Caenorhabditis elegans: one gene and its partners. The protein of the gene in region 4 interacts with the protein of the main gene of each other region in a pairwise test. Each region holds a gene or a part of one and is shown on either strand. Other genes may lie near its edges. The genes, in order: ceh-51, klf-1, F53H1.4 and nhr-23.

What was found.
Region 1: the proteins of nhr-23 (region 4) and ceh-51 interact in a two-hybrid assay, tested with the Caenorhabditis elegans proteins (one large-scale study listed by BioGRID).
Region 2: the proteins of nhr-23 (region 4) and klf-1 interact in a two-hybrid assay, tested with the Caenorhabditis elegans proteins (one large-scale study listed by BioGRID).
Region 3: the proteins of nhr-23 (region 4) and F53H1.4 interact in a two-hybrid assay, tested with the Caenorhabditis elegans proteins (one large-scale study listed by BioGRID).

The regions. Positions count from the first base shown.
Region 1 is NC_003283.11:18,871,835-18,877,590, reverse strand, and holds ceh-51 (Homeobox protein ceh-51), read right to left. Parts: upstream 3,459-5,756; coding exon 3,205-3,458; intron 2,135-3,204; coding exon 1,684-2,134; 3' UTR 1,609-1,683; downstream 1-1,608. Other genes in the region: emb-4 (Intron-binding protein aquarius), read left to right, coding at 270-398, 444-575, 4,625-4,965. UniProt on the Caenorhabditis elegans protein: Required for mesoderm development, including specification of muscle and coelomocyte precursors.
Region 2 is NC_003281.10:2,872,157-2,881,539, forward strand, and holds klf-1 (Kruppel-like factor 1), read left to right. Parts: upstream 1-2,661; 5' UTR 2,662-2,736; coding exon 2,737-2,872; intron 2,873-3,433; coding exon 3,434-3,606; intron 3,607-4,519; coding exon 4,520-4,712; intron 4,713-5,505; coding exon 5,506-5,586; intron 5,587-6,171; coding exon 6,172-6,468; intron 6,469-7,138; coding exon 7,139-7,576; intron 7,577-7,758; exon of another isoform or gene 7,759-7,832; intron 7,833-7,938; coding exon 7,939-8,028; intron 8,029-8,175; exon of another isoform or gene 8,176-8,182; coding exon 8,183-8,268; 3' UTR 8,269-8,520; downstream 8,521-9,383. UniProt on the Caenorhabditis elegans protein: Transcription factor which modulates genes involved in lipid metabolism and the phase I detoxification pathway, including cytochrome P450 oxidases.
Region 3 is NC_003282.8:1,307,757-1,313,877, reverse strand, and holds the start of F53H1.4 (PHD-type domain-containing protein), read right to left. Parts: upstream 3,713-6,121; 5' UTR 3,655-3,712; coding exon 3,584-3,654; intron 3,281-3,583; coding exon 3,219-3,280; intron 3,137-3,218; coding exon 3,080-3,136; intron 2,982-3,079; coding exon 2,801-2,981; intron 1,752-2,800; coding exon 1,478-1,751; intron 858-1,477; coding exon 462-857; intron 1-461. Other genes in the region: ddx-46 (RNA helicase), read left to right, coding at 4,234-4,489, 5,416-5,969.
Region 4 is NC_003279.8:7,214,411-7,222,633, reverse strand, and holds nhr-23 (Nuclear hormone receptor family member nhr-23), read right to left. Parts: upstream 5,851-8,223; 5' UTR 5,673-5,850; coding exon 5,605-5,672; intron 3,849-5,604; coding exon 3,457-3,848; intron 3,317-3,456; coding exon 3,225-3,316; intron 3,179-3,224; coding exon 3,105-3,178; intron 3,059-3,104; coding exon 2,938-3,058; intron 2,872-2,937; coding exon of another isoform or gene 2,866-2,871; coding exon 2,774-2,865; intron 2,730-2,773; coding exon 2,174-2,729; intron 2,128-2,173; coding exon 1,846-2,127; intron 1,772-1,845; coding exon 1,682-1,771; 3' UTR 1,406-1,681; downstream 1-1,405. Other genes in the region: Metal transporter cnnm-4, read right to left, coding at 1-181, 230-261. UniProt on the Caenorhabditis elegans protein: Orphan nuclear receptor. Transcription factor. Modulates expression of target genes, such as Period protein homolog lin-42 and microRNA let-7, by binding to hormone response elements (HRE).

The DNA of each region.
Region 1 (5,756 bases), on a different chromosome or scaffold from region 4:
AATTTTTCCCGAAATTTCGACAAAAATCGTCAATTTTCCATTTTTTTTTTCAATGAAAATTTACGAAAAACTGGAAAAATTGAATAGTTTATTGAGTTTTTGAAAATTTCACTGAAAAATTTGAAAAATCTAGGTTTCATCAGTTTTTTGCGGAAAAACTGTAAAAATTGCTGAATTTTCTTTAAAAAAAAACGTTTTTTTGACTGAAATGCATATTGAAATTGTGTAGTTTGTAGTGTATACCACAAGAAAACTATAATTTCTTACAGGTTTGCCGAGTTTGGGAGGAATTCCTTGCAAAAGTTACATCGAAAGGATGCAACAAGCTGGCCGAAGGAATCATTTCCGAAATCTTCCCGTTCACCGGATTCTTCAAAGACATTCCAGACCTGTTTTCAGTCAGTTTCAGGCTTTTCAGGCCGAATAAAAGCCTATAATTACAGGGAAACAACTCGGCGGATCTGAAAGTTGCCCACTCTTGCTGGCGACACATTGAGCAGATTTTCGAGAAGCTCGACGAGTTCCGAGCGTTTGAGTTGCTCAGGAATGGAAGAGATCGTACGGAGTACTTGTTGGTAAGGAGAAATTGGAGAAAAAATTGGGAATTTTATGTTATTTCGTTTTTTTTATTATTCCGTTTTTCAAAATATTACTTTCGATGTCGATATTATATTAATACCAATCGGAGGAGGACCAGAAGCATGTTATTTCTTGATTTGTGTAGCTTTTTGTCACTTGTATTATTGTGTGCCCAATAAACGATGTTCGATTGAATTGAAAAAAAAACCGCGAAATTTGAATTTTCAGTGTTTTTGAACCTTTTAGAACATCAAAATTAGTAGAAATTCCACAACTTCAAAATTTTTGTCTCAAATTTACAACTCTCCGAGCATGTGTATTATAGGTGGTGTAGTCGAATTTTTTTATTGCTTCATTAGACTCAAAATTGTCTGAAAACGCCGAATTTCATAATAAAACTTCCTGAAAACTTCTTTAAAAAAAGTTATGACGGCTCAAAAAATGGCCTATAATTCGTTAAAATTTGAATTTGACCGACTTGTCAATGCCGCAGCGACTGGAAACATTTTTTTTTGAAATCATCGTTAAATTTTGAGTTTACAGCATGATTATCTTGAGTTTTCAACTCCATTTAGGTATTTTAAAATCGATGGACGAAGAGATTTTTAAATTTTTAAAACCAAATCTCGCCGTAGTCCATGGACTTTAAAATACCTAAATGAAGTTGAAAACGCAAGATAATTACATTGTATACTCAAAATTTGACGGTGATTTCAAAAAAAAAATTGCCTTCAGCCGTTACGACATTGACAAGTCGTCGGTCAAATTTGAAATTTTAACGAATTTTTGGCCATTTTTTGAGCCGTCATAATTTTTTTTTGAGAAGTTTTCAAAAAAGTTTCATTATGAAATTCTGTGTTTTCAGACAATTTTGAGTCTAATGAAGCAATAAAAAAAATCGACTACACCGCCTATAATACACATGCTCGGAGAGTTGTAAATTTGAGACAAAAATTTTGAAGTTGTGGAATTTCTACTAATTTTGATGTTCTAAAAGGTTCAAAAACACTGAAAATTCAAATTTCGCGGTTTTTTTTCTTCAATTCAATCGAACATCGTTTATTGGGGGCACACAATAATACAAGTGACAAAAAGCTACACAAATCAAGAAATAACATGCTTCTGGTCCTCCTCCGCCTCCTCCTTCGCCGATTTCTGTTGCTGCACAGCGTCCTGCTTGATCTGCTTGTATTTCTCCTTTCTCAACTTGAATCTCCGATTCTGAAACCAAATCTTGATCTGCTCGGGCGAAAGTCCGATGACTGCTCCCAACTTCCGTCGCTCGTCAACCTTTATTGTGTCGCACTGCTCAAATCTGGTTCTCAACGCGTAAAGCTGAGAATCGGAGAACGGAGTTCGAGCGCCTCTCCGCTTTTCTGAAGGAGCTCTTGGATGCTGCTGATGCTGATGATGTAGAAAAGACGGCGGTGGTGGGATGAAGCCAGCGTGATGAGCCACCATAGGATGAGGAAACGAGGATGGGGAGAGTTGTGAGTACTGCTGCTGGAACCAGGCGAAGCATTGAGCTTGGTAGGCTTGAGCATGGGCTTGAACTCTGTAAAAAAAAAGGAATTTTCGGAAGAAAAGCGATCACGGAGATGAATTTTGTTGCAAATAAGCAGTGATCAAATTTTCCAAATAGGGATTTTTGCCGCTGTAAATTTAACATGCCAAAAAGAAGCTACCAAATTTGCCCAATTTGTGGCAATTGGACTTCTTGGAGCTGTTAATTTCAAAAAAAGCAGCTACCAAAATTGCCTAAATTTGGAATTTTGGCCACTGCTAATTGCGAAGAAGAAGCTTCGAAAATTGTTCAAAATTGAAATTTTTGAAAACAGTTAATTGCAAAAAAAGTAGCAAACAAAATTTCCTGAATTGGATTGTTAAGAGCTCTTAATTGCATAGAAGCAGCTACGAAAATAGTTCAGAATGGACTTTTCGACACTGCTAATTGCAGGAAAACAGCTACCAAAATTGCATAAATTTGGAATTTTTGGAGCTTTTAATTGCAAAAAAGCAGCTACCGAAATAGTTCAAATTGGAATTTTCGACATTGCTAGTTGCAATAAATCTACCAAATTTGCCCAATTTGTGCAAATTGGACTTCTTGGAGCTGTTAATTGCAAAAAAAGCAGCTGCTACCAAAATTGCCTAAATTTGGAATTTTGGCCACTGTTAATTGCAAAAAAGCAGCTACCAAATTTGCCCAATTTGTGCAAATTGGACTTTTCGACACTGTTAATTGCAAAATTGCAGCTACCAAAATAGTTCAAATTGGAATTTTTAGAGCTGTTAATTGCAACAAAGCAGCTAACAAAGTTTTTTTTTGCTAAAAATGCCCGTTCGCGGCCATATAGTGTGAAAAAGCTATATTTTGAGTAATTTCCCACTGTCAAAACTTATGGGGTTATTCAAGAAATGTTACTTGCAAAATGTATTTAAATACATGTTTTTAAATGTATTTTAATACAGTTGTGACGTAATTTTTCTACACTTTTTAATTTTCCGACGCTAATTGAATAACCCCATTAAAATTAGCGGTTCTTCACGCATTTCGGTAGAAAAACGTAGTGAAAATCACTCTAAAACGCCCGTTTTGTACTGAAAAGTATCGAAAAAACTTACAACATATCATTCCCATTATGAGCCAGCTGTTGTTGATAGTAAAGCTGATTGGGATCCGCCACGTAGCACGGTGATGGAGCCTGATAGGCCGCCGGATAGGCTGGCGATGAGCTCATTGAGCCCGGAGAGCTGCTTGGCATTGTGGAATATTCCATTACAGTAGCATTAGTAATAGCAGAAGTTGAATTAAGATTCGAAGAAGACAAAGGATAATAGTCACCGCCGTTATTAATATTATAGTTGGATGATGACATTTTGTGTGGAATGAATTGGGGGAATTATAGTGGCTATTCTCCAGCTGGGGAGGCTGTAAATCTAGGCGGAGCATTGCTGCCTAGGTAGGCGGGGAGGCGAGAAGGTGCGATTTTGTTTGGCGGGAGACATGACCGGGAAAAGGTGACACCGGAGAGGTGAGATACCTGGGAATTGGGTGAGATTTTCCGGCTGTTCTTCAGAATTGTCTGAAAATCTGGAAAAATGTGAAGTTTTTCCACGGAAAAGCGAATTTTCGATTGATTCTTGTAGTTTTTCGTACAAATCGGACAATGCCAAAATTTGGCAGTTTTGGTACTTTGTGTTGGATTACGGTAGAAATTTTGGTCTGAAAAGCTTATTTTTAAGCCAATTTCAGTCAAAAACTGCAGTTCCGGCAATTCGGCAAAAACTTGCCGGAATTAAAAATTTCCGGCAAATTTGCAAGTTGCCGGAATTGAAAATTTCTGGCAAATCGACAAATTGCTGGAATTTGAAATTTCCTGCAAACCGGCGGAATTAAAAATTTCTGGCAAATCGGCAAACTGGCAAACTGCCGGAATTGAAAATTTCTGGCAAAATGGGCGATTTGCCGGAATTGAAAATTTCCGGCAAATCGGCAAATTGGCGGAATTGAAAATTTCCGGCAAATTGTCGGAACTGAAAATTTCTGGCAAAATGGGCAATTTGCCGGAATTGAAAATTTCCTGCAAACCGGCAAAAATTTGCCGGAATTTAAAATTTCTGGCAAATTGCCGGAACTGAAAATTTCCTTCAAACCGGCACATTGCCGGAATTGAACATTTCCGGCAAACGGGTAAAAACTTGCCGGAATTCGCCGAATTTTCCGAACAACAATTGCCCGCCTACTTAAAACTTTTAAAAAAGCAAAAAAGAAAAAAACAACTGACATAAAAATTATCTGATCAATAAGATATTGGAAAAAATGTTGAAAATTGCAAAAAAATATATCGAATCTAGGCATATAGTGCTCCCTAAACTACAACCTACAACAAATTTCAAATAAAATATACAAAATTTTGCAAAAAAAAGAAAAAATATAATTAAAATTCAAATTTCGAAATGTTAAATTTGAAAATTTTAGAGTTTTTCGACGAAATTACAACAAAAACACTCTGAAAATTATAAAAATCCTGGATTTTTTCAGGTGAAAGAGGCAAAAATCATCGCAATGACTTGTACACACGCGGCTCTCCGTCGAAATGAGCTCGTGAAGCTCGGCTTCCGCTACGATAATATCGTAATGGAAGAAGCCGCTCAAATTCTTGAAGTTGAAACATTTATCCCATTGTTACTACAAAATCCACAAGACGGACACAATCGACTGAAACGATGGATTATGATTGGAGATCATCATCAGCTGCCGCCAGTTGTACAGAATCAGGCATTCCAGAAATATTCGAATATGGAACAATCGTTATTTGCGAGATTAGTCAGGCTTAGTGTACCAAATGTGCAGTTGGATCGACAGGGAAGAGCCAGGGCTCAGTGCGTGTTTTTTTTTGGGGAATTCTTGAGAAATTCTACGTGAAAATTAAGAATTTTACGGTTGAATTTACCGAAAAACGATTTTTCGTGCGAAATTGGCAAATTTTCATATGAAAATTGCAACTTTTCACAAGAAAAATTTGGCATTTGAGCTCAATTTGCTGAAATTCAGATTTTTTTCGGAAAATTGGCGAATTTCTAAGTGAAAATTGAGATTTTAAATATAAATTTACCGAAAGTCGATTTTTTGTGCGAAATTGGCAAATTTTCATATGAAATTTGCACCTTTTCACAAGAAAATTTGACATTTGAGCTGAATTTGCTGAAATTTGGATTTTTCCTATAAAAATTCCGAATTTCCAATTCAAAATTTATATTATTCATATAAGTTTCATGAAAATCAGATTTTTTTTCCCGAAAAATTGCGAATTTCTACATGGAAATTGAAATTTTCATTTTGAATTTCCCGAAAAACGAAATTTGTGTGAAAATTGCGAATTTTCATACGAAATTTGCACATTTTTACAGGAAAATTGAAATTTAAGCCGAATTTGCTAAAAATCGGATTTTTCAGAAAGAAAGTTATAGCAATTGCGAATTTCCACATCAAAATTGGTATAAATTTACTGAAAATCGGATTTTTGTACGAAATTGGCCAATTTTCATATAAAATTTGCAAAAGTTTTCACCGGACAATTGAAATTTAAGCTGAATTTGCTGAAATTCAGATTTTCTCGAACAATTGCGAATTTCTACGTGAAAATTCAAATGTTCACGTTTGAATTTGCCGA
Region 2 (9,383 bases), on a different chromosome or scaffold from region 4:
TGTGTCTTTCACTTTGCCCTTCATTGGAATTTTTGAGATTTCCTGGAAATCCACTTGAAACATTTTTTGAAATTGTTTTTTCTCAAAAACTATTTGAAAATTCCAAAATTTGCTAACCTTCAAAATGTAGCCCTTAAAATTATCTACAAATTATCAGTTGAAAGTATTTTTCTAGCTCTTCTCTCAACAGAGATATCCAAGTTTAAAGGTAACAGGTGTTAGAGTGGGAGGGGGAGAGACGCAGGCGGCGCGCGCACGCTGCGTCTCCCCTCACCCTACGCTCTCTCGCATGATATCTTCAAAGTGGCGTAACTCCGCGGAAAAATGAGCTAGATAACTTTTTTAAAAACCAACTTATAGGAAACTTTTAGGACTATTGATTTGCGTAGGCCATAAATATTAAAGTTTTTGCTCTCTCTTTTGTCTGTGGCCGTATCATTTTTCGAAAAATAGCTTCATTGTATCCAAAAGTTTAAAAGTTATAAAATTTTAGTCTTCAATTTTTTTTTGCATAGCTAGTTTCGAGATATTGCAAAATTTTACGAAAAAGTTCCAATTTTTTTTCAAAATTTCAAAATTTCAATGTTTTCCTCTTAATTTTTATAGTACACAAAACTAATATTACATTTTTTTTTCCAATTTTTACTAATCACATGACACCCCCACTATGTCTTATGATATTCCCGTAACTGCTGACATTTTTTGAAGTCCACAGTACAAAAGGTTGTGAAATTTTTCGAATTTTATTTTCATATCTTTGACCTTAAAAACATTTTAATTTGAGTTTCTCGATTTTGCGGAACACTAGAACTAAATTTCCCGTCGCTGTCACCGAGATAAAGACTCATTTCGATGCGGTTCATCAATTTTTACCCATTTTCCGCCTTTTTTACATAAAGAAGGCATTTTAAACACGCTGAGGCCAGTGTAGATGAGATATCAAACATAAGAAAAAAAGTTACCACAGTGGGGACTCGAACCCAGGTGTTGTGGGTGGTAGTCATCTCTGTTATCCACCAGGCCAAAAGTTCAACTATTATTTTTTAAATTTTCAAGTTTCGACACATTTTTAGTCTGTAAACAATGTGTAAAAAACCGAAAAAAAAAACGTCGACCACAGTGGGGGTCGAACCCCGGTGTTGAGATTACCAATCACCAGTGTTATCCACTAAGCCAAAAATTCAATGTTTCAAATGTTTTTCAAAATGATTCAAAAATAGCTGATATGGTTGTCAAATTAACGGAAATTTTATTGGGAACTCGAATTTTTATATGAAAATTCCGGAAAATCACTAGTTTTTATTTTCACAAATTTTATTTTAACAAATCCCGCCGAAATTTAGTGTAACTATCGATTAATTTGGAAGATTGTTCTTATATAGTTCAGTTCCTTTTTCATTTCTCTCTCTTCTTTTTTCATCTTTTTCTTGTTTCTTCTGTGCGTCTCAAACTAACTGTCACATCACATTTACAATCGACGTGTAGTTAGTTCTGTCTCATTAATACTTCTAGTTTTTTCAACTATTTTCACTTTCTATTCTCACTCTGTAAAATCGATTCGTTTTTGCTGAAAATTGTTTTTTTTTAATTTTGAAAATTTCAAAGTAAAAAATTAAAAAAAAACCAAATTTCAGTCCGCTACGGTTTGAACTAAATGTTGTTAATAAAAATCTCTGACATACCAAAAAAAAATTGGAAAAAAGTTTTGACCCCAGCGGGGGTTCGAACCCCGGTGTTGTGAGTCCCACCCATCCGTGTTAACCACAAGGCCAAAAATTTAATTTTTTTGAAAAAATCGATATGGGTCTCAAATTGACGGAAATTTCGTGGAAAACCCGAATTTTTATGTAAATATTTCTGAAAATCGATATTTTTCGGGAAATGAACTAAAATCTCGATTTTTTTTTGTGAATTTTCATTTTCAAAGTCAAAGCGTCTACCATGTCAATTTTCAAAGCATAAACAATGCAAACAAAACTCGACAAAAATTTTGACCCCATCGGGGATTCGAGCCCCGGCCTTGTGAGTCCCAGCCAACTCTGTTAGCCACTAGGCCAAAAACTCGAAATTGTTTTTTTCCAATTTTGCAAAAACGAAAAATGATAGATTTTTATTGATTTTTAGAGATTTTTCAAGAAATTCCTCTGATTTTCTAATCAAAAATCATAAATGTCACATGACACGTTCTCCTGTTCCCGTTCTCAGCTGACAATTCATTTTCCCTACCATTTTTTTTTCGGCCGATTCTGTGTATCTCTGCGTTTCTGTCTATTTCTTCATTTTCTTATTCCTTTATCAAGTTTTTTGTTTCGGTTTTTATCTTTTTTTTTTGTTTCGGCTGTGTGTTGAGGAGGCGATGCATTACCCTCGAAAATGTAAAAGACTACGCCTTTTTTGGAAATTTTTGTTGGGGTTTTTAGGGAAAAATCACTTTAAAAAATTTTTTTCATAGATTGAAAACCAAACTTAAAATCGAAATCTTCAAAAATGAGCAAAAGATCGAAAAGCAAAAAATTGAAATTTTTTTCAAAATTTTTTTTTTCAAATTTTTTCAAAAAATAATTATTTCAAAATTTTCTCAAATTTAGATTTTCTTATGTACTTTTTCACAATTTACCCATTTCCCCTCTAAAAAATCTATAAAAATATCGATTTTTGCAGATGTTTGGGCCGGAAGGCTCCGGGTCACTCAGCTCCTCATCAAGTACACTACAATTCAATTCCACGTCATCCACGATGACGTCATCATCGATAAATGCCACGTCATCACGGGAACCATTAATACACATTCCTAATAAACCATCATTATCAATTGATCCATTGGCGCGGGCGGATAGATCAGTACATTTGTCACCGTCTTTTTTTCAACCAGGTGAGAGATGTTTTTTTATTTAATACCATCACTGAAAATATGTTTTCCTGATAGAATAAATTTTGTTGTGTTTGCCATAGAAAAAATTAAGTGAAAATCTTAATTTTTCGCTGAGTTATCGAATTTCGAAAAATTACAAAAAATTTTCAATAAAAATGTGTCCCACCACGAAAACTATGACTTTCTAGCCCGAAATTTAAAAATAATCAGATTTAAAATTTCACGAGCTTTCAGAAAAGTATAATCATGGCTATGTTTCGAAAATTTCGAAATTTCCCCGGGAGTACTGTAGTTTTCGTGGTGGGACCTAAAATTGACGGAGCCTAGGCATGATGGGTGTCATTTGAAAGTTCTCAGTGTGCTAAGTTCAAATTTAACAGTTTTGAAGTTTCAAGTTCAAGCTGTGCCTTAAAAGTTTTGATTTTTTGAAATTTTTCGAAATTTTTCGAAAATCGATAACTCTGCGAGTTTTTAAGATATTTGAACTATTCCAATTTCAAAATGTGCAGAAAACGTTGAATTTTTTTGCAAAAATATAACCAAAAATCTTCAAATTTTCAGGCCTCTCCTCAATTTCATCTGAAAACGACGATGCTGAACAGCGGATACATGAAGCAACAAGAAGCTTTAATCAATTCGGACATCAATTTTACGAATCAATTCGGGAACTTTCCGAGAGCACAAGTGCCTACGAAAGGCTGAAGGCCAACGCGTTGAGGAGGAAGCTAGAAAATGTTCGTTTTTTTTTGAGATACAGCTATCTTGGTTATATTATGTTAGGCCTATGCACCTTTAAACTTTGATTTTCGTGGCGGGACCCGGAAATTAAATTTTTTTAAGACTCCCTCTCAAAACCTAGTCATGATTATACTTAAATGAAAGCTCTCACCCAGCTGAATTTGATTTTCATATTTTCAAGGTCCCACAACGAAAAACCACCAAAATTTCAAAGCTACAGTAGTCACATGTCCTTTAACCCTCTTATCTCTCAGTCTCTTTGTCACTCTCAATTTTCCCGCCTTTTTGGGTGTGGTTACCGTCTTTTCTTGATGTCGGCGGCGGCGACCGTCTTGTTTCGCAAGAAAAAGAAAAATGAGAGTGAGAGAGTGAGAGAGTACGCAGAGAAAGAGAGTAGGGAGAACATTGGGCGTTGGCGCCTCTCTTTCTATCTACCGAAACACATACATAAAGTGAGAGAGAGAGAGAGAGTGATTGATAAGATTGAGAGAGCGCTGAGAAAATAGAGAAAATCTAGACCGGATTGTTCATCTTCCTACGAAAGACTAATTAATCGATATTAGAATGGAACAGATTTCACAAAAAAAACTTTTATTAACCGCAAAATTTCGAAAAAAGACCAAGAAATAGATAAACATAAGCCTAAGCCTAAGCCTAAGCCTAAGGCTGAGGTTAAGCCTAATCCTAGGCTAAAGCGTATGCATAAGCCAAAGCCTAAGTGTAAGCTTAAGCAGGAGCTTAAGTCTCAGCCTAAGTCTAAACCGAAGCCTAAGCCTAAGCCGAAGCCTAAGCCTAAGCCGAAGTTGACTCCAAAGCCTAAGCCTAAGCCTGAGCTCAAGCCTAAGCATAAAAATCAGATTTAAATATGGAAAAATTGAAAAATCCTTTAAAAATGTGTTTTTTTTGCAGACATTTGGAAATGATAGCGGAGCAGCAACAAGTTCAAGTTCTTCATCGGTTTTCGAAAGACAATCGGACTTTTCTGCATTTGCACCATATAAAAATTCACATTTTGACTCAACTCAGAGCCTTTTCCAACCGACAACTTCATTTAATGACCGTCTGGAACAGATCAAAAGTGATTTTATTGCAGAGCATCAGAGTGGGTTTTATTTTTGATTGAAAAATCTGAATTCAGCGTTTTGAGAGCTTTAATTTAAGTATAATCATGCCAAGGTTTGAAAATTTTGAAAATTTCTTGGGTCTTGCCACGAAAAAGATCTGGGGTACTGTAGGTACAGTTTCCAGGCTGCGAAAAGTATTTTTGTCTGAAAGAACAATTTCTGTTGTGTTTGTCAAACAAAAAATCTTATGTAAATCTCAATTTTTCGCTGAGTTATCGATTTTCGAAAATTGTCGAAAATTTGCCCACAATTTTGGGTGCCACCACGAAAACTATCAGTATTTCTCACAAGTTTTCAAACTATTCGAATTGTAAATTTTACGTGCTTTCAGAAAAATATATATAATCATGACTAGGTTTGGAAAATTTTGGGTCCCACCACGAAAATTCCCCGGGAGTACTGTAGTTTTCGTGGTTGGACCTAAAATTGACGCAGCCTAGGCATGATGGGTGTCATTTGAAAGCTCTCAACGTGCTGAGTTCGAATTTAATTGTTTTGAAGTTTTAAGTTCAATCTCTGCGTTAAAATTTAAAGGTTTTCGATTTTAAATTTTTCGAAATTTTTCGAAAATCGATAACTCTGCCAGTTTTCAAGATATCGGAACCATTCCCATTTCAAAATGTGCAGAAGAAATCATATTCTTCTGCAAAAATTAAAAACTCAACTAAATTTATCACCTAAAAAAAAGAAAACGCCTAAAGAAAATTTCTTATCAGGGACACCCCTGCAAAACACCCTCCGAATTTGTAAAAATTGTCATATATTTTTCAGAGTCAATGTCGTCATTTTCCGGATTCAACACACCGACGACAGCTCTCGGAGCAGCTTTTCAGGGCATGCAAGTCAAGAAAAGTTTGTGATTTTTTTTCAATTTTCAATTTTTTAAACTTTCTAACTAATTTTTTTTTGAAAATTATAGAAAAAATTGAATTTGTCGTGCAAAGAGCTTTTGAATAACACCCATCATGACTAGGTTCCAGTGAGTTTAAATTTTAAAGCACCTATGTGCCTTTAAATTTTGATTTTCGTGGCGGGACCCGGAAGTGCAGGCTTAGAGGTCACTGACAAATATTTCATCTGTTCATTTAAAATTTTATTAGCATTCACGATGCCTAAAACTTTATATTGATCTTCAATTTTCAACTTGTTGGGTCCCGGCACGAAAATCTAAATTTAAAGGCGCATAGGGTTTGAAAATTTCAAACTTAACCTAACCTAGCCAAGATGGGTGTTATTTTGAAGCTCTCAGTGTGCTGAATTCATATTTTTAGTTTAAAGTGTATTGTATGACAAGAAATGAGAGATACTGTAGTTTTTGTGGTGGGACCCGGAAATTTATTGAAAAGTTCAAAATCGTCAGAACCTAGTCATGATTATACTTAAATGAAAGCTCTTGGCTAGCTTGATTCAAATTTTCAAAGTAAAAATCATTTTCAGGTGCGTTCGCTCCAGTCCTGCTTCGAGAAAATCTGGATACCCGGCGCCCCGGGGGCCATTTGATTTCCGACATTCTGAATCGAGACCCGCTTCCACAATCTCGAAATCTTAACCTGAATATGGCTAGAAATGTCCCAATTCGGCTGATTCATTCGACTTCAAATTTCGATATCGCTTCCTCGAGCTCCGGAGATTCAGGCCATCAGGATCATGAGAGTATTGTTGTGGAGGATGCTGACATGGATAGTCCGACAAGTCCGTGTGTCAAAAGATCCGCAATGAATTTTGATTTAAGAGGTAAGGTTTTGAAATTGCGGAAAATTTTTTTTTTAATTCTGGAAAAAAAATTTTCCACAAAATTTTTTTTCAAAATTTTTTCTTCAAAATTAAAAAAAGTCGTCAAACTTCACAATTTAACTATTCTCGGCTCGTCAAGATCCTTCAAATGACACCGATCTTGCCTTGGCCCCGCCCACTTTGGGTCTCACCGCGAGAACCAGAATTTAAAGGCGCATAGGGTTAAAAATTTAAAAATATGCCGAACCTAGGCATGATGGGTGTTATTTTGAAGCTCTTGATGAGTTGAGAGCGATAAAAACAAAATTAAGGTAAAAAATATTTTTTTAGTTCAAAAATAATTTTTCGAAAAATAACCTTTTTTCGCGTTCATCACATCAAGAGCTTTCGAATGACCCCCATGATGTCTAGGCTCTGCCCATTTTGGGTCCCACCACGAAAACTACAGTACTCCTGGGGAATTTTCGTGGTGGGACCCAACATGGGGAGAACCTAGCATGATGGGGGTCACTTGAAAGGTCTTAACAAGCTGACTACAATAAAATATCCAAAACTTGAAAACAAGATAATTATAATACCAATTTTGTGCTGAAAAAAATTTTCTCCAAAATATTTTTTTTCAAAATATTTTTTTGAAAAATCAAAACTTCAAATGTTTTTTAATTTTTAGACGAACCTCTCACAGTGAACGTAGAAAGTGTGTCATCAACATCAGACCTTCCCAGCTCAGTATCCAGCTCTGTGAACTCCTTCGTCTACCAAAACTTTGACCCCTTGGAGTTTAAGCGAAAAATAGACGAACTGACGGCTTCAGCGTGTCTAGCTGTAATGCCAGACGCAAATGGTCAAGTCGATCCGATGGCCATCAAAACTCAGTTGGATGCTATCAAAAAACAAATGGAAGAGCATCAAACCCACATGGCAGAAGCCTCGCAAAGACTCCACGTGGACTCTTCCCTCGAGGATTCAAATTGCGAGCCGAGCCCGAGCTCATCATATGATGCTTCTGAACCATCTGTCAAGAGGCTTCACCATTGCACACATCCGAATTGCGGGAAAGTCTACACGAAAAGCTCACATTTGAAGGCTCATTTTAGAACTCATACAGGTAATACTTTGTTAATTGTACTGAACAAAATATTTTCTAGATTGAAAAAGCAATCATTACACCCAGAAAAAACCAAAAACATGCAGAAAGAATCGAACTTGGGACCTTCTGGGTCTCAGTCATCTCTCTTACCTATTGCGCCACCAGCGCCGTCGCGCCCAGCAACTGGCGCGGCACGCAGTGCGCGCGTGGCGCAGTCGGTAAGATGTCAGACTATGACCCAGAAGGTCACAGGTTCGATTCTTTGTCGAAGGATATAGGTTTTTCTGGATGAAAAGTTTGAAAATTTCAGTTTTAAATCTTGATAACTTCTCTTTAAAGTTGTTTTTAGAAATTTTTTGATGAAAAAAATCATTTTTCAGGTGAAAAACCATACGAATGCAGTTGGGACGGGTGTGATTGGCGATTTGCTAGATCTGACGAGCTAACAAGGCACTATAGGAAACATACAGGTAATTTTTGAGTGAATTAAAGGCGCATACACCTAAAAATTTTCAAATTTTCCCAAACCTAGTCATGATTATACTTAAATGAAAGCTCTCGTCGAGCTCTATTTAAATTATGCACTGCAATGCTAAGAAAAACAAAAATAATTGTTTTTTTCAGGAGACCGCCCATTCAAGTGCTCTCAATGTTCACGTGCCTTCTCCCGAAGTGATCATCTCTCACTCCATATGAAACGCCACTTCTAATCAAAAAAAACATGGTGCAACAGATTAACTAATTACGGGTTCCCAAAATGTATTTCTCAACTTTTTATCCGGTCATTACATTTTTTTTGGAAAATTTTTGAAAAAAGTTTTTTTTTTCAAAAATTTTCAAACTTCCCGCCAGTCACGTCTCAACATCGTGACGTCATTTTTACAGTTTTTTGAATGTTTTCTTGCTCAAAAAATGCTTGGTATCATCACTAAATACGGTCATATTAATTTTTGTCACATTTCACTTTCCCCCCCCCCCCCCACGTGGAAATCAATAAATACATATCGATTTTTTTTTCTGTGTTTTTTTTTTTGATTTTTCAGAGATTAGTAATTTGAAAAAAAACCAAATTGGAAAGGTTTTGAGCCTTTCAAAATTATTCAAAAATAATTTTTGGAAAAAATTTTTTGAAATTTTTTTTTTGAAAATTTCATTATACTTACTATTAAATTATTATTTTCATGTTTTCATATTCACAAAATGAAGAATTCCAGTTTTTTCTAAAATTTTAGATTAGATTTTCAACTATTTGGAAAAGTTGAAAATTGAAAATTTTCGAAAAAAAGCTGGTTTTTTTTTTTGAAATGTTTGTCTTGGAAAATTTGTTCTATTTAGTTTTTATAATACATTAAGTTGAAAAATTATTTTATTTGACAATTAATAACCATTTTGGCAATTTTTCAAAAAAAAAATTCAAAAAGAAAATTTCCAAAAAAAAATATTCTTCGAATTTTTTAAATTTTTTTGAAAAAACTTCACTAATATAAAATACCCCTCACAATAGTTTTTTTCCAAATAAAAAACCTCTCTCCATCACTTCCTGCGTCTCTTCTCCCTCTACCCAAATGTTGATCTTTCTCTGTCTGCGTCTCTCCCCCTCTCCTCTTTTTTCCCCATTTTTCCTGAAGAAATTTTCCGTTTTTGCTTGTTTTTCAAAGAAAACTTATATTAGAAAACGTAATAAAATATTACACACCCGTAGAAAAATAAGACTGACGAATGTATAATAATTCAAGTTTTTCATCAATTTCTACCATTTTTCGTAGATTTTTCCAGAAACTTTTCTTGATTTTTTTTCACAAATCTCTTCCTGTCTGCGTCTCTT
Region 3 (6,121 bases), on a different chromosome or scaffold from region 4:
GCAAAAATCGGGCAATTTTAAGGCACATTTTGCTGATTTTGCCGAATTCTTTGCACTTTTTCACAATTTTCCGGCAATTTTCAGTCAAAATACAAAATTTCAGAGGCATTTCAAGCAATTTTAAGCCAGTTTTAACGATTTTTGAACAATTTTGAGCCTTTTTTGTTCAAAATCAAAGCGTTTTGGCTCATTTTTTCCAAATTTTCTCAATTTTCAAGGAGTTTTCGTCAATTCAAAAAAAAAAAGTTCACACAAAAATATGACAATCTTAAGACGATTTTGGCTAATTTTAGCGAATTCAATGCGCTTTTTCTCAAATTCAAAACAATTTTTAGTCAAAATACGATTGATTTTTAGGGACATTTAAGCCATTTTTAGCAATTTCTAGACAATTTTCAACCAAAAAAAAACATAGTTTTCATTTTGGCTCCATTTTTTTTCCAAATTTTCTGCATTTTTACCTCCAAATCGCGCCGTTTCCACGCATCTTCCATCTTTTTCACTCCGACAGCAATCCGCTTCTCTCCCCATTTCGACGGTGAGAATAACGGTGCATTTTTGCTGCTCGGTGAGCCCGTGTCTTTTTTCAAAAATTTGTCCATAGTTCCATTATTTTTCTCCTTTTTCTCAGCTTTTCGTGCCGCTTTTTCCTCTTTTTCCTTCAATTTTTCCTCTTTTTCTTTCAGTTTTTTCGCCTTTTCCTCTTCTTTTTTCTGCTTCTTCTCTTCCTGTTCTTTCTGCTTTTTCTCCAGTTTTTCCTTCTCTTTTTCATCTTTTTCCTTCTGTTTTTCTTGTAAACGGCGGCTCGAGAGGATCACAGGGCCTCCAGATGCTCGCGGAGCTCCACGTGGAGTTTTCTGCAAAAATTTTCGGTTTTTTCACAAGTTTCAACAGAAAGTTCTCAGAAAATTGGAAATTTCGCATGATTTTTGTCAATTTTTACATTAAAAAATTATATTTTCTAACAGTTTTTGGTGAAAATTGGCACAATTTTGGCGATTTTTGCGAGATTTTAGTCAATTTTTCACTGTAAAATGTGGTTTTTTTCTCGATTTTTCACAAAATGTATCCAATTTTTCTCGTTTTTTCAGAAATTTACAAATAAAAATCCCATTTTTCCTCATTTTTTACTATGAAAAATGGCGTTTTTCTCAATTTCTCAGTCGAAAAATCTAATTTCTCACAAATTTTGTCAATTTTAAAGCTAAAAATCATCGGAATTTAGTTGATCTCTGTCAAAATCACGATTTTTTCACTGTTTTATTCAATTTTTTAGGAAAAATCCTAATTTTTCTGTATTTTTACTACGAAAAATCGAGCTTTGACTACAAAAATAGCGTTTCTGTCAATTTTTCAGCTGAAAATCTACTTTTTTTTTCAATTTTCAGCTAACATCCTGATTTTTCTTTACTTTTCCTCTCCGAAAAATCAGATTTTTCTCTCAATTTTCCAGCTAAAAATCGAAATTTTCCCGTACCATAGCACTTTTATTTGCAGCTTCTGCTCCACTTTCAGCATCCATTGACACCTCTTGTACATCTGAATCATCGGCTTCTGCCGCCACACTGAGCTGAGCAGTTTTCGGCGTAGATTTCCGATTTGCTGAGAATATTGGAGCATATTTTTTAATTTCACGAATCGGATTCTCGGCGAGCAGTTCTTCCCGGACTTTCCACTGCTTTTCATCCACAAATTCAGCATCTTCAATGGCGATTTTCTTGATTTCTTCCACTGATAGACCCTTTTTTCGTCTGAAAATTGAGGGAAAATTAGGGTTTTTTCTCTAAAATTTTGGATTTTTCTTCATAAAAAGTGTAATTTCCACTTATTTTTGAGACAATTTAAGCGCCAAATTGTGAAATTTCACACAATTTTCATCCAAAATTACATCTTTGAACTTTTTCAGACTCTTTTTAAACGGATTTTTGAAAAAAAAAATTGCAGTTTTTTACACTTTTCACCGCAAAATCAAATTTTTGTGGACATTTTGTCTGGAAAATCGAATTTTTGAACGAAAAAACTAATTTTCCATAAATTTTCACTGGAAATTTCGGGTTTTCGAGGAAATTTTAATGAATTTTCTGGGATTTTTAGTGCAAAAATGGCCATTTTTCGTAATTTCGCCCACTGAGAGACCCTTTTTTGGCTGAAAATTGACATTTTTCAAATTTTTTATAGCAAAAATGAAAAATTTCAGCATTTTTTATGTGAAATTATTATATTTTAAAGCATTTTCCGTCCAAAAATCTCGAATTTTATGAGTTTTTAATCAAAAAACATGAAAATTTTTGGATTTTTCATGCAAAAATGTTGAAAATTACGCATTTTTGCAGCTATTTTGTGGATTTACTTTATATTTCACTTAAAAAGGTCTAAAATTGGCTGAAAAACACGATTTCAGCGTATTTACCGGTTAAAAAATTGGGATATTCTCGATTTTTCAATGAAAAAAACCCCATTTTTGCTCAGGAAAGATCTAAAAATCCGTTTTTCAATTCAAAAAATGACCTAAAAATGATAATTTTGAAGTAAAAATCGTGGGAAATGAATTAAAAAATCAATTTTTTGTTATTTTTCGGTTAAAATAAGCAATTTTTCATGAAAACCTGTAACTTTAGTGGTTTTTTTTTTGGGTGAAAAATGAAGAAAAAATGCGGAATTTTCAAATTTGTTGCATGAAAAATCTGAAAATTTAACGATTTTAGTCATTTTTGGCCTAAAACTCCGATTTATAAGCGAAATTCAACGGTTTTTCGCCACATTTTTCCACCGAAAACCATGCAATTCCATCAATTTTCACCTCAAATCGCGATGTCCAATTTTGGTGCCGTCCTCCATTGTGTAAAGTGTGAGCCCACCGCGTTTTTCACTGGAAACCACTGTATATTCTTTGCCAGAGCTCATTAATTTCTCTCCGGCAAAGAATTTCTCATCAATTAGGTCTTCAATTTCGTCGAGAAGGTCATCTTCTGATAAATTGCCTGAAAATTGGGGGATTTTTCCGCGAAAAATCTAGTTTTCTAGCGAAAATTTGGAGATTTTTGATGAAAAATCCACAATTTCTGGGTTTTTCACTCACTATTGTGAACTTTCGAGTAAACTTCAATGGCGAGTGGCTTTGGGAGGCGGGAGACGGCTGAAAAAAGAAACATTATTTTGTGGAATTTCGGGTTTCTAGGTGAAAATCGGGTGGAAATTCACGATTTTTCGGCACTAACCTGTCCCATTTTCCGACTTTTCCATTTGTTCCGTCGATTTTAGTGGTGTGGCGAGCGAAACGCTGGAAAAAGAGAGAAATTTGGCTCGAAATTCGGAGAAAAAAAGTCGAAAACGAAAAACAATTCAAATATTCGCAATGGGGCGCGCTTGCACACCCATTGGTTTTTATTGGATTTTCATGAATTTCCAGTGGTTTTTAGTGATTTTCACGGGTTTTCAATGTGAAAAATGAAGAGAACGTTGAATTTTACACCAGAAACAATAAAAAGAACTCTCAAAATTTTGGAGAATCGAGAAATAAGTTAAAAAAAAATTTATTTTTTTATTTAAAACATTTTAAATTTAAATTCACGTTTAAACTTACTCCGCAATATCATTCGAATTCGTAGCAGCCGTCATATTTCCAATTTCACTTCCAAATGATCGCTGGCTCATTTGCGAATCAACTTTTTGAATTTCCGAGTTGCAACAAGTAGTTTGTTAGTTTTTCGCACTGGAAAACTTGAATTTAAGTGACTTTAACGTAATTTACACAAAAATTTGCGCGAAAGCCGGCTATAAAGCGACAGAATTGTGAGGAATGCGAGAAAAATCGACGGACAGTGTTTGAACACCTGCGCGTTCGCGCCAATTTTTAAAAGCGCTAAACAACACGCGCGGCGGGATTTCGGAGTGTCGTAGTGCGGAAAATTTTTATTTTCGAAATTCTTTTTTTTTTTCGGTTTTTATTTTATTTTCCATAGATTTTTCGCTTTTTTCGAAGTTTTTTAAGTGAAAAAGTGAAGATTGAAGTCAAATTACTTACATAAAACGATAAATCGGCCAGAAAATAGGCAGAAAATCAGATTTTCTGGATTTTAAAACACTTTTTGAAATTAAAAATGATTAAAATTGTTCTTTTATAAAAATCCGAAGGTTTTAACGAATTTCCAGTGATTTTTCATTGTTTTCGCACACTTTAATCGTATTTTTCCCAATTTTAATCCAAAAATCCCCAATTTTTTCCAGTTTTCGATGGGTCGCGGCGAGCACAAAGAGCACAAACGAAAGCGTTCCCGTTCAAAGGAACGAAAAAGAAGCCGGAGCCGCTCGCCACGTGGCAGTCGTGAGCACCGGGAACATCGAGACAGAGATCGGGATCGGGAGAGACGCAGAGAACGAGACACTGATCGGGAGAAGACGAGAGATCGTGAAAAGCAGAGAGATGCAGAGAAAAAGAAGGAAAAAGAGAGTAAAACGGCGATTTTTGAAATGGAAGAGTCACGGAATGGTAAGGAATTGCAAAAAAAATTGGCAAAAAAAATCGATAAAAAGCCAAAAAAAGCAAATTTTTGCCTGGAAAAATCCCAATTTTCGAATTTTTGAGTTAAAACTGGGAAATTTGAACGAAATTCAGCCTAAAAATAGGATTTTAAGGTAAAAAAAAAAAACTTTTTAAACTGAAAATCGCAAAAATTAGCCGATTTTCATGCCAAAAGCATCAAAATTCAGCTATTTTTGCCGTTTTTATTTTTGCTATTTTCATGCAATTTCTAATTTTTCCGGAGAAAAAAAGCGAAATTCGGACAATTTTTGGATAGAAAAATTGAATTTTTGATTCAATTTTCGCCTTATACCGTTGAAATTCAAATTTGTCAACAGAAAGAGCCGAAAATTGTTCAAATTTAAAGGTTTTTGGTTGAAAAATTGAAGTTTAGGCGATTTTTCACCAAGAAAAGTGCGAAATTTTCGAATTTTTCATGCAAAATCCATAGAATTCTCAATTTTTTGCGAAAAAAAAACTCTAATTTTCACCCAGAAAAATGCATTTTTAAGCGATTTTTCCAATTTTCCACTGATTTGTATGGTTTTTGCAAAAAATAATGTGAATTTTATGAACTTTTCATGCAAAATCCATAGAGTTCTTACCTTTTTCCCAAGAAAACATAAAAATTTAAGCGATTTTTTTTCAATTTCCACCTAAAAAACTGAATTTCTAGACGATTTTCACCCAGAAAAGTGTGAATTTTATGTTTTTTTCGCAAGAAATAGGCCAATTTTCAACTTTTTGTTACGAAAAAACCTAACATTTTAGTGAGTTTTCTCAAATTTCACCCAAAAAATTGAATTTCCAGCCGGCTTTTACCCATAAAAGTGTGAAAAAGCCCAAATTCTCAATTTTTTGCAAAAAAACCCCTTAATTTTATCAATTTGCAGACACCGAAGAAGTTATGAAAATGAAAGAAGCCGAATTACTACAGGGAGTCGAGCGTAGGCGTCGTAATGTGGAGAAGTGGAGAGCCCAAAAGAAGAAGGAAGAGCTTGATCTACAATCTGAGCAATCTGATGAAAAATCTGAGAAAAAGCCCTGGAATCTGGAGGATGAGGATGATGAAGACGAATTTGATATCAAAAATGAGGGAATTTCAGAGGAAAACCCGGTGAAAATGGAAGAAAAAGTCGAAAAAATGGATACAGACGACGAAGAGGACCCTCTGGACGCTTTTATGAAAGAAATTGCCACTAAAAACGCCAAAAAAACCGGAAACTCCACGCAAAAAGCGTCTGGAATTGTGACAATTGTGCAGGAGGAGAAGCCGGAGCCCGAAAAGGGACAAGTGCTGGAAAATGAGGATAATATGGATATGGTTATTGATGATTTTGATATTGAGACGGCTGCAGCATCATTATGTCATAAAGGACGAATGTTGGCACAAACTGACCATTCTAAGGTCTATTATCGGAAATTCAAGAAGAATTTCTATATTGAGGTGCGGCGGGAGAAGTTGAAAATCGGGAATTTTTATATTAAAATTCGGAAAAAATCAAGAAAAATTGAAAAAAAATTATTTAAAAACCTTCCATTTTGTGGGAAATCTGGAAAGTGGACATTTTATACGAAATTGCCAAAAAATCCGATAAA
Region 4 (8,223 bases):
AATTTTGTATTCGACAAGAACTCCTGATAGATTTTTCTTGTCGTCATCCAATTCATGTTCTTCAAGAGAATATACATTGTTGTTGCATGTAGAGTCGCTAGATAGAAACGCATTTTTGACATATTGGACATCTTCCCCGTAGAGCTGGATAATATCATGTTCGTTCATTTTGAAAGGCTCGCTGAAAAATGAATAAATTTATGCTAAAAAGGTTTTGAATAGAAGAAACCTGTCATATCTTCCCGCTGCATACAATTCCATAGAATCATTTCCACATTTATTTGCCTTTGTCTCTATCGGTAAATTAATCCATGCCAAATAAGAAAACACATAAATCTGAAATATTTTATTTGATTTATTTGGGGATAGGTACCGTTATAGTATAATAAAATGGTCGAAATATTAAGCTAAATATTATAAATTTAAAAAAAAACCACATTTGGAAATGTGGGAGAAAAAAAAAAACTTTGAATTCCTGAAACTGACACTATTATGTTTGACTAAATATAATTGATAGATCCAGAAATAATCTAAAGCTTAAATTCAATTTCAACTTACGAAAATCATTGATGAAGTACTTCGTAAAAAATTAAAAAATGATATAAATATATGAGTATATTCTATTCTAAAGTGGACAAATTTATGATAACGAGAGCCTCGTGGAAACATAAAGTAGTGTTGGAAATTTAATTAGAACTCACGTCTTAAAACTCACGCGTTGTATCTATTTTTGGAAAATAATCGGAATAAAAAGTAAATATTAATTAGGAACAATTCTACGGAGAATAACCAGAAAAATAAAAATATAAAATTGAGACGTTTTATCACTGAGAAAACCAAAAAAAAAGAGATTATATTTAACAGAGAAAGATGTTGTGGGGCAGGTAGAACCGAGAGGAAAGTGAAATAAATTAAAAAGTCGGTGTATGGAGCTGAATGCATTGATGACAATGAAACATATTTAGGATGTTACATGAAACAATGGAAACACTCAAGCGACCACTACACCATAAACGAGAAAATGGTTGGATCAAATGGGTAAGAAGGCGTAATTAAAGCGCAGACACTGGAATGATACGAGTTTTAAAAGGCAATAAATGGGGAGATATTTAATAAAATAAAAATTAGTGCGCCTAGAAATCCAGATAAATGGAAATTTGTGGTTTTGTACCCGTGTTGATCACGAAAAGAGTATGGGATGGGATGGGGAGAGGCATCAATACCTGAAGAGAAATGATAAGACAAGAGAGAGATTGGTATGGTTTCAGAAATTTTACTGAACATGAAATGCAAGAAAACATGGAACGCAACATGATTGTACATGGTACACGAGGGGGGGGGGGGGGGTGACAAAAGTCATTAATAAATTAGAACAAGTAAGTAAAGAAGATCCGAGTAAATCACTTTAAAAACAGGAAAAGGAGAGAAAGAATGAGGAACTCTCCTGCAACAGACGACTACAATTATTTTTCTATTAATTTTCTGATAAAACATGGAAACGACTGGGGTTTTGGGGGGAATGTCGGGAAAGGAAATCACAGAAGGAAAGAAAATGGTGTCGTTGGGTTCAAACGGCGCTTTGGTCTACTCTTATTGTACAAATAACCGGAGGAAACGAGATTCATGGACGGGGATAGGGAAGGAGAGCATGGATAAAACTATTGATGATATATGGATTCAGTCAAGGCCGATCTGCAGTGAATAGCTCTTTGTAGAGGGCAGGAAGCTTTTCAGATGATGTTGGATCAGACATTCGGAAGTTTTGAAGAGCCTGTAAATAGAAAAATAATAACCTCAAAATTAAGCATTCCAGATTATTTATATCCAAGCTTCAGCAAATAATACCTCTTGATGCAAACGAGCTGTTTGTCTGATTCTTGTCTCAACATCTTGAATTCGGTGAATCGTGTCTTCCATGCATCCAATTCTTGGCATGACACTTTGGTACAACGCGTTCTTCAGTGTTTCTGCAGTGGCAATCGTCGCAGTGTCAAGAATCCCAATTCCATGAGAAGAAGACACTTGCTCCAGAATAAGTCCAGCGGCAAGAAGAGCTAATTCGGATTGATGCGGTTGTAAATGAACAATTTCTTGAAGAGTGTTATTAACTTCAACGATCAATTGCATCTGAAACATTGAGTATGAGCCGATATTACTCTATGAAAATAAATACCTCGGCATCATCTTCGGCAATCAAGCATGCAAATGGAACAGAATACCTTTCACCGCACACTGCCTGCGCGTCTACATTGTAATACATAGCAGCAAAAACGAGTGATAACTCAAAAACGCTTCCCTTCAGCAATTGAATCTGTGTTTCTTGCGGAAGATTCATAAATCCATCAATACTTTTGGCAAACTCAATAATTGCTTGAATAAGCGGATTGAGCTCCCTAGCGAAGAGCTCCCAACCACCAGCTCGACTCAAATGAGGAATACAATCAGGATCCACGTTACAAACTCCATGTTGTGTTGTATAGGAACTGTGCTGCTGATTGAAAGCTCTGATAACGCGAGTGGCAACGTCTTCTTCTGGAACTTGTGGCGATGGGAAGCTTCCTCCAGTGGCTTGATGTGCAACATATTGTGTGCCATTTGTAGATGATGGTGTTGCTCCGTACATGTTCTGTGGCATTGGAGTCGTAGGAGTCGCAGCAACAGCTATAGAATATCCGTTAACAGGTGTTGAAGTTCCAGATGGATAATGACCGTACATACTTTGATCAAAGCTGAAAATGACGTTGCATGACAGAAAAATGTAGGTGATAATTACCAATAACTGGGATGGGATGGTGGAGGGGAATAGTCGCCGTAAATTGCTTGGTATCCAAGACCATTTGCAGCTAATTCTTTATGCATTCGAACCTGAACCTTTAAGGATTGAACAGACAAAAACGATGACATGAATACGAAGTTTAGAATTGGGAATGTAAATACCTCATCTTCTACTTTTTCTCGTTGCTTTTTTGACATTCGTCCAAATTTAACTGCATCCCGTGACATTCCTAACTCAATACACTTTTTGAGACGGCAGTATTGGCATCGATTTCGATTCACTCTGAAAATACGATATTAAATTTCTGTAACATTCCTAACTGAGATACCTATCAACAACACAATTCTTCTGTCTCGGACACTGATAATTGACGATGGATGATTGACTGCGTCGGAAAAAGCCCTGAAAAATGTATAAGAAATAAAGTAATTCTGGTAAAAAGGCATACCTTGCAGCCTTCACATGTGATAACTCCATAGTGAACGCCAGACGACTTGTCACCGCACACTTTACATGGTATTACTTCTATCTGCGCTGATACTGAAAAAGTAAATTTAGAATCTTTAAAAAGTTCAGTTTATCACAATTTTGGAGTGTTTTTTTTCAGAGTTCGGTTCCAAATTCCAAATTTCAAGGGTTTTAAAGGTTAGTAGGACAATGAACAAAAAATACGTGCATACCCAGAAGAGATTTGTTTTCGGGAAGTCCCCGGAAGCTCATATTATCAGGAAGAATTCCGGCCATATCGACTCGATTTGTATCAATAACACATGTCAATCTTTTGGAATTGTTTCCCATTTGAAGATCTCCGCCGCCTATACGAAAATCATCGGGAACTGACTTAAACTCCCGAGCAAAACAAAAATTTGGTTCCGATTTGATCGTATGCGGATGAAACATGCAATTTGAACTCTCGCATCCAGATTCATCATTTTCCTTGCTTTTTGGAGTTTCAATTGAGAGTGATGGTTGAAGAGATGACTTTGCATGAAGAGTTCGTGTTGCATCAGCCAACTTCTGCTCTACAGCTTGCATCGGAAAATTGTGAGCTTGTTGTCGCGATCGAGGCCAGCTGAAGATAAAATCAAGAAAGGCGGACTACAATTTAAGCGAGTAATGATAGGATACGCGGAAAGATTGAACGTCTAGAAACAGTTTGCGAAACGTTTTTTTTTTACGAAATGCCATGCAATCGCAGAGCTTAAGAAACTCACCTATTAGTTACTGGAGGATATAAATTGAAATTAATTGAAATTTCGAAACAAAAACCAGCCGTGGATCTTAACGTGACTTATTATTATTATTTAGGTTTTATCAATAAGATATAATCTAAACATAATAACTAGCTTATAGTTAGGAAAAAAATTCACGCAAAATAAATATTTAAATTCCTGCTGAACATTTTTTTTCATTGTTATTTGCTTTTGGGGGGGGAATTAGCCTTAAAAATTGAATCATTGCATATTTTAGATTAGAATAGTAAGATTTTTTTCGAATTCTAAATTTAAATTTGAGAAAAATGGTTGAAAACAAAATATTTATGTCAAAAATGAATTTAAAAAAAAACGAATATCAGCGAGGCGGACTACGGTAGGCGACATAAAATGAACTAAAGTCCGCAAACACTCTTAGCACACCGTACCTTCTGCGTTTTTAATATTTATAAATATTAAAAACGCAGAAGTTCAAATATTTGAAAAAAAACAAAAAAATTTTGTTTTTGCATTGTTTTGCAAATGGAATTCTTCAAAAGAAATTTGGTGAAACTGGAAATTTTAATGTCTCGCCTAAAACGCAAAAAAAATGGCTCAGCTTTTTGGTATTTTTAAATGAAAAATTTGACGAAAACCCGCCAAGAGAAATATGCTTCGGGAGTTCTTTATGTTTTTGTGCATAAATTTTAATCAGAAAATGTATACGGCAAGAATATAAAATCTATATCAATCTCACTTCGAATAGCATCACTCATTTCTGATTCAGATAAAAATCTCGTCGTCCCCAACTCTTTTATTATATCGGCTCGATTTTCAACCTCGTTTCCTAGGACCACAATTATCAGGTCTTATATATTCGCAACATATTTCATATTTCCTCATCATACCGCTCATCCTTCATTTCCTGCCTATTCTCAACTTTATCCCCATCTCACCGCTCCTCTCATAACAATTACAGTGTTTTGAAAGAATGAAGAGACGGTGACGATGGAGGATATGGGAATACTGAGAAACAAGGTAGGAAATGAAGAAGACGTAGGAATAAGAAGATGAAGAAGACAATTGTGTGTACGTCTCCGCGCTATTTCTTCATCTCGAGAAGTGACCTCGGTACCTGTGCACGGTGTGTTGCGCGCGAACGGTACGGTATGCCTCCCGCCAGGAGGTGACAGGACCCCGCGTCGTCGACGTCGTCGCGCTGTGTGAGGCAGGATATAGACGACGTGGTTTGCGATGATGGTGGTGGCGGCAGCGGCAGCGACGACGACGACGGGAGGTTGCAATTTCGTAAATTGTACTTTCCGCTGATCATGCGAAACGACAAAAGAGAGACGGAGACGTATACACAGCAAGTACGTGATGGTACCGCCGCGGAAAACTGGGAAAAGTGAATTTGATGGCAAAAACGGTGAAGAACACCCGAAATCTGGTTAAAAATATGTGCAAAATTTCAGAAACTTTCAGCCATCTTAGATAGTCTTCGAAACTTCCATTTTGAATTGAAACATCCCTACAGTATGCTAGAACATTACGGATTGCTTCAAATGTCTAGAGTTAGATCAAAAGATTTCAGGACACCCGCCGAGGTGCCACGTAAACAGAAAAACAACTCACTACACGAACGATGACATTTCGAGAACTGAAGTGAGGTGCCGATTTGGGCCAGTGACCTTACAGGCCATGCCATGCGCTCTGATGTGCCTTGACCCCTGATCTTCTTAAAAACCTTTTTTCAAGATTTTCGAAATGAGTGAAAATGGTTTTGATGTTGTTTGGCTAAACTCTCGAAATGACCATTGAAATGTTGCATTGAAGACCATCGAAGCGAGAACATGCACCTGGTACCGACAGTGACCACCTAATGGTAGAGAATACCGGTTTTCGGTGACACGCGGCTGGACGGGAAAAGGTGTCCCTTACCCCCACTCTCATTAGTCACTGATAAAGTACATTGTGTGAGATAATTAGAATGTAATTTCAAGTAAAAAAAACCAAAAAGCTGTGCTTTAAGATTTTTGCAATTTAATAGTAAGTGTAAACTTAAAAAGGGGAATAAAGAAAACTGAATTCAAGGTCAAGATGTGAGACGAACTTAATTGGGAATAATAACTCGATGAGGAGATGAGATACCATTAATACTTATTATAACTGCCGCACTGGTACTGACTCGTGCGGGCCATAAAGACTGTCCGTATTGAGTTGAAGTTATGACCAATAAGGAAAAATTTAGTAAGGGGGAGAAAATTATTTTTAGTGCTCCTTACATAATAAATTTAGATGTATAAAATAAATAGTGAAAGTAAATATCTAGAAGTAAAGCGAGAAAGAGGGAGAGAAAATCAGAGATCTTTTTGAGATACTGATCTTAATCTACAAAAGAGGGAATGTGGTTTCGGAAAAGAACAGAACACGACCACAAATAAGAAAAAAACCATTCGATAAGTATTTTTAATATCCTGCACAGTTTCAAGATGTTGAGTTATAACAAAATAATAGTACAATTCAAATATCAAAATATACCATAACTGAAAAGTGTAACTTTTGCAAAATAGACACAGTAATAAAATTGAAATTTTCAAATCAGTATTAATCCGACAGAAAATGGGAAAACGAATCTTCTCATAAATGAAAAAGGGCGCACGAAAATCTGAAGCATGGTTTTTGTGCTCCATTTACTGGGTACGACTATTTATTTGGTACTGGGTGCAAAATAGATACCGTACTATAATTGAGCCACATTGTTCATATCCTTTTTAGCTTATATCTCATTTTGTTTCATCGAAAAGTTATCAATTCACAAATTGCTTCGTAGTTGACTGTGTTTTGATATTTGTAAAATTAGTCCAGATATAAATTGACAAAGTAGAGTAATGGATTTCAGTACTGTGAGACTTTTTAAACTAGAAGTTTCAAGTGTCAAAGGAGGAACCGGGAATTGTTTATAAATAAAACTACAGTATAAATAGGAATCACATAATAAATAACTCAGTATAATACCAGAAAGGAAAAGCAAATAAGTTTAAGTTGCGCTAAAGAAAAGAAAAATACGGTGATGGTAAAAATAATTTAAAGTCCAAAAAAAAACAATTATAAGCGTATAAGATACTGTAAAACTGAAACATAATCAAAATCCACACAAAGAAGCCAAAAACGAACTACGACATCATTTCAAAGTGTTGAAATGTCGATTCTTTCTTCAATTTTGGGCTGTTCCCTCCTTCACAATTCATCTTTTCAAAAGGGCATTTTGAAGAGTATTACGGTAGAGGAAGGTGGTGGTCTCTATCTCGTCCAACTATGGGGCAATGGCAGAGTGACCGTGAAATATAGGCATTTTTGATCAATTTGATAGACTTGATAACAGTGGAACGTGCATAACATAGATGGTAAACATTGGTTAGACAACACAAACACATTTTGAAACCTTTCAATTGGAATCTGGAACCTAGAACCTGGATCATGGATCTTGAAACGAACTACTGAATTAATTGTTGTCCTATCGGCAAAAATGAATCTTTTTTGGGTTAGCCATGGCCGAAAACGGGGTGACCGGGTTAGCGGGTCCGGTCGCCGGGCCATGCCCTTCCCCGTTTTTTTGCATCTCTTTCTCTCTCCTTCCACCAACATCTTCGAGAGAAGAAGAAGATGAAGAAGACGTGAGATGACCTACCTCGCATGTCGTCGTCCGAACGCAAGTGACCCGGCCGGTCAGTAGCCGTCGCCGGTAGGGATGCGTCGATCCGGTGTGTCTGCGCATCACAACACTCTCGTCCCCACCCATCCCCTCTATCTCTCCGTTCTCTCGATCACGGCGGCGCCCTCCCAGATCGCATCGTCGCCGCACAAAAACGGTGAAGAAGTTTTGGAGATGAAGAAGATGTGGTGGCGAACGATGGAATAACTCTGTCGGGATGACTCGAAAATACCAAAAACCCGACCGATCACTAATCAGTCAAGACGCTTCCCCTGTTTTCACCCCGTCGAGAAAGCCGACAACGCCTTACTCGTTTTGCAACCGGGAAGATTACGGTAGCGGTAGTGATTAGAAAGTTTTCTTCTAATATAGTTGATGAAAGCTTCTGTAAAGTAAAGCTATTCAACTCTACTACATATAAAGATTTTGTATAACTTACCGTATTTTCCAGTGCTCCTTACTTGCACATCATTGCTATACTTTGACGGCTTATACTTCTGTTGTAATAAATTTTATCAAAAATCTTCAACAATCAAAAC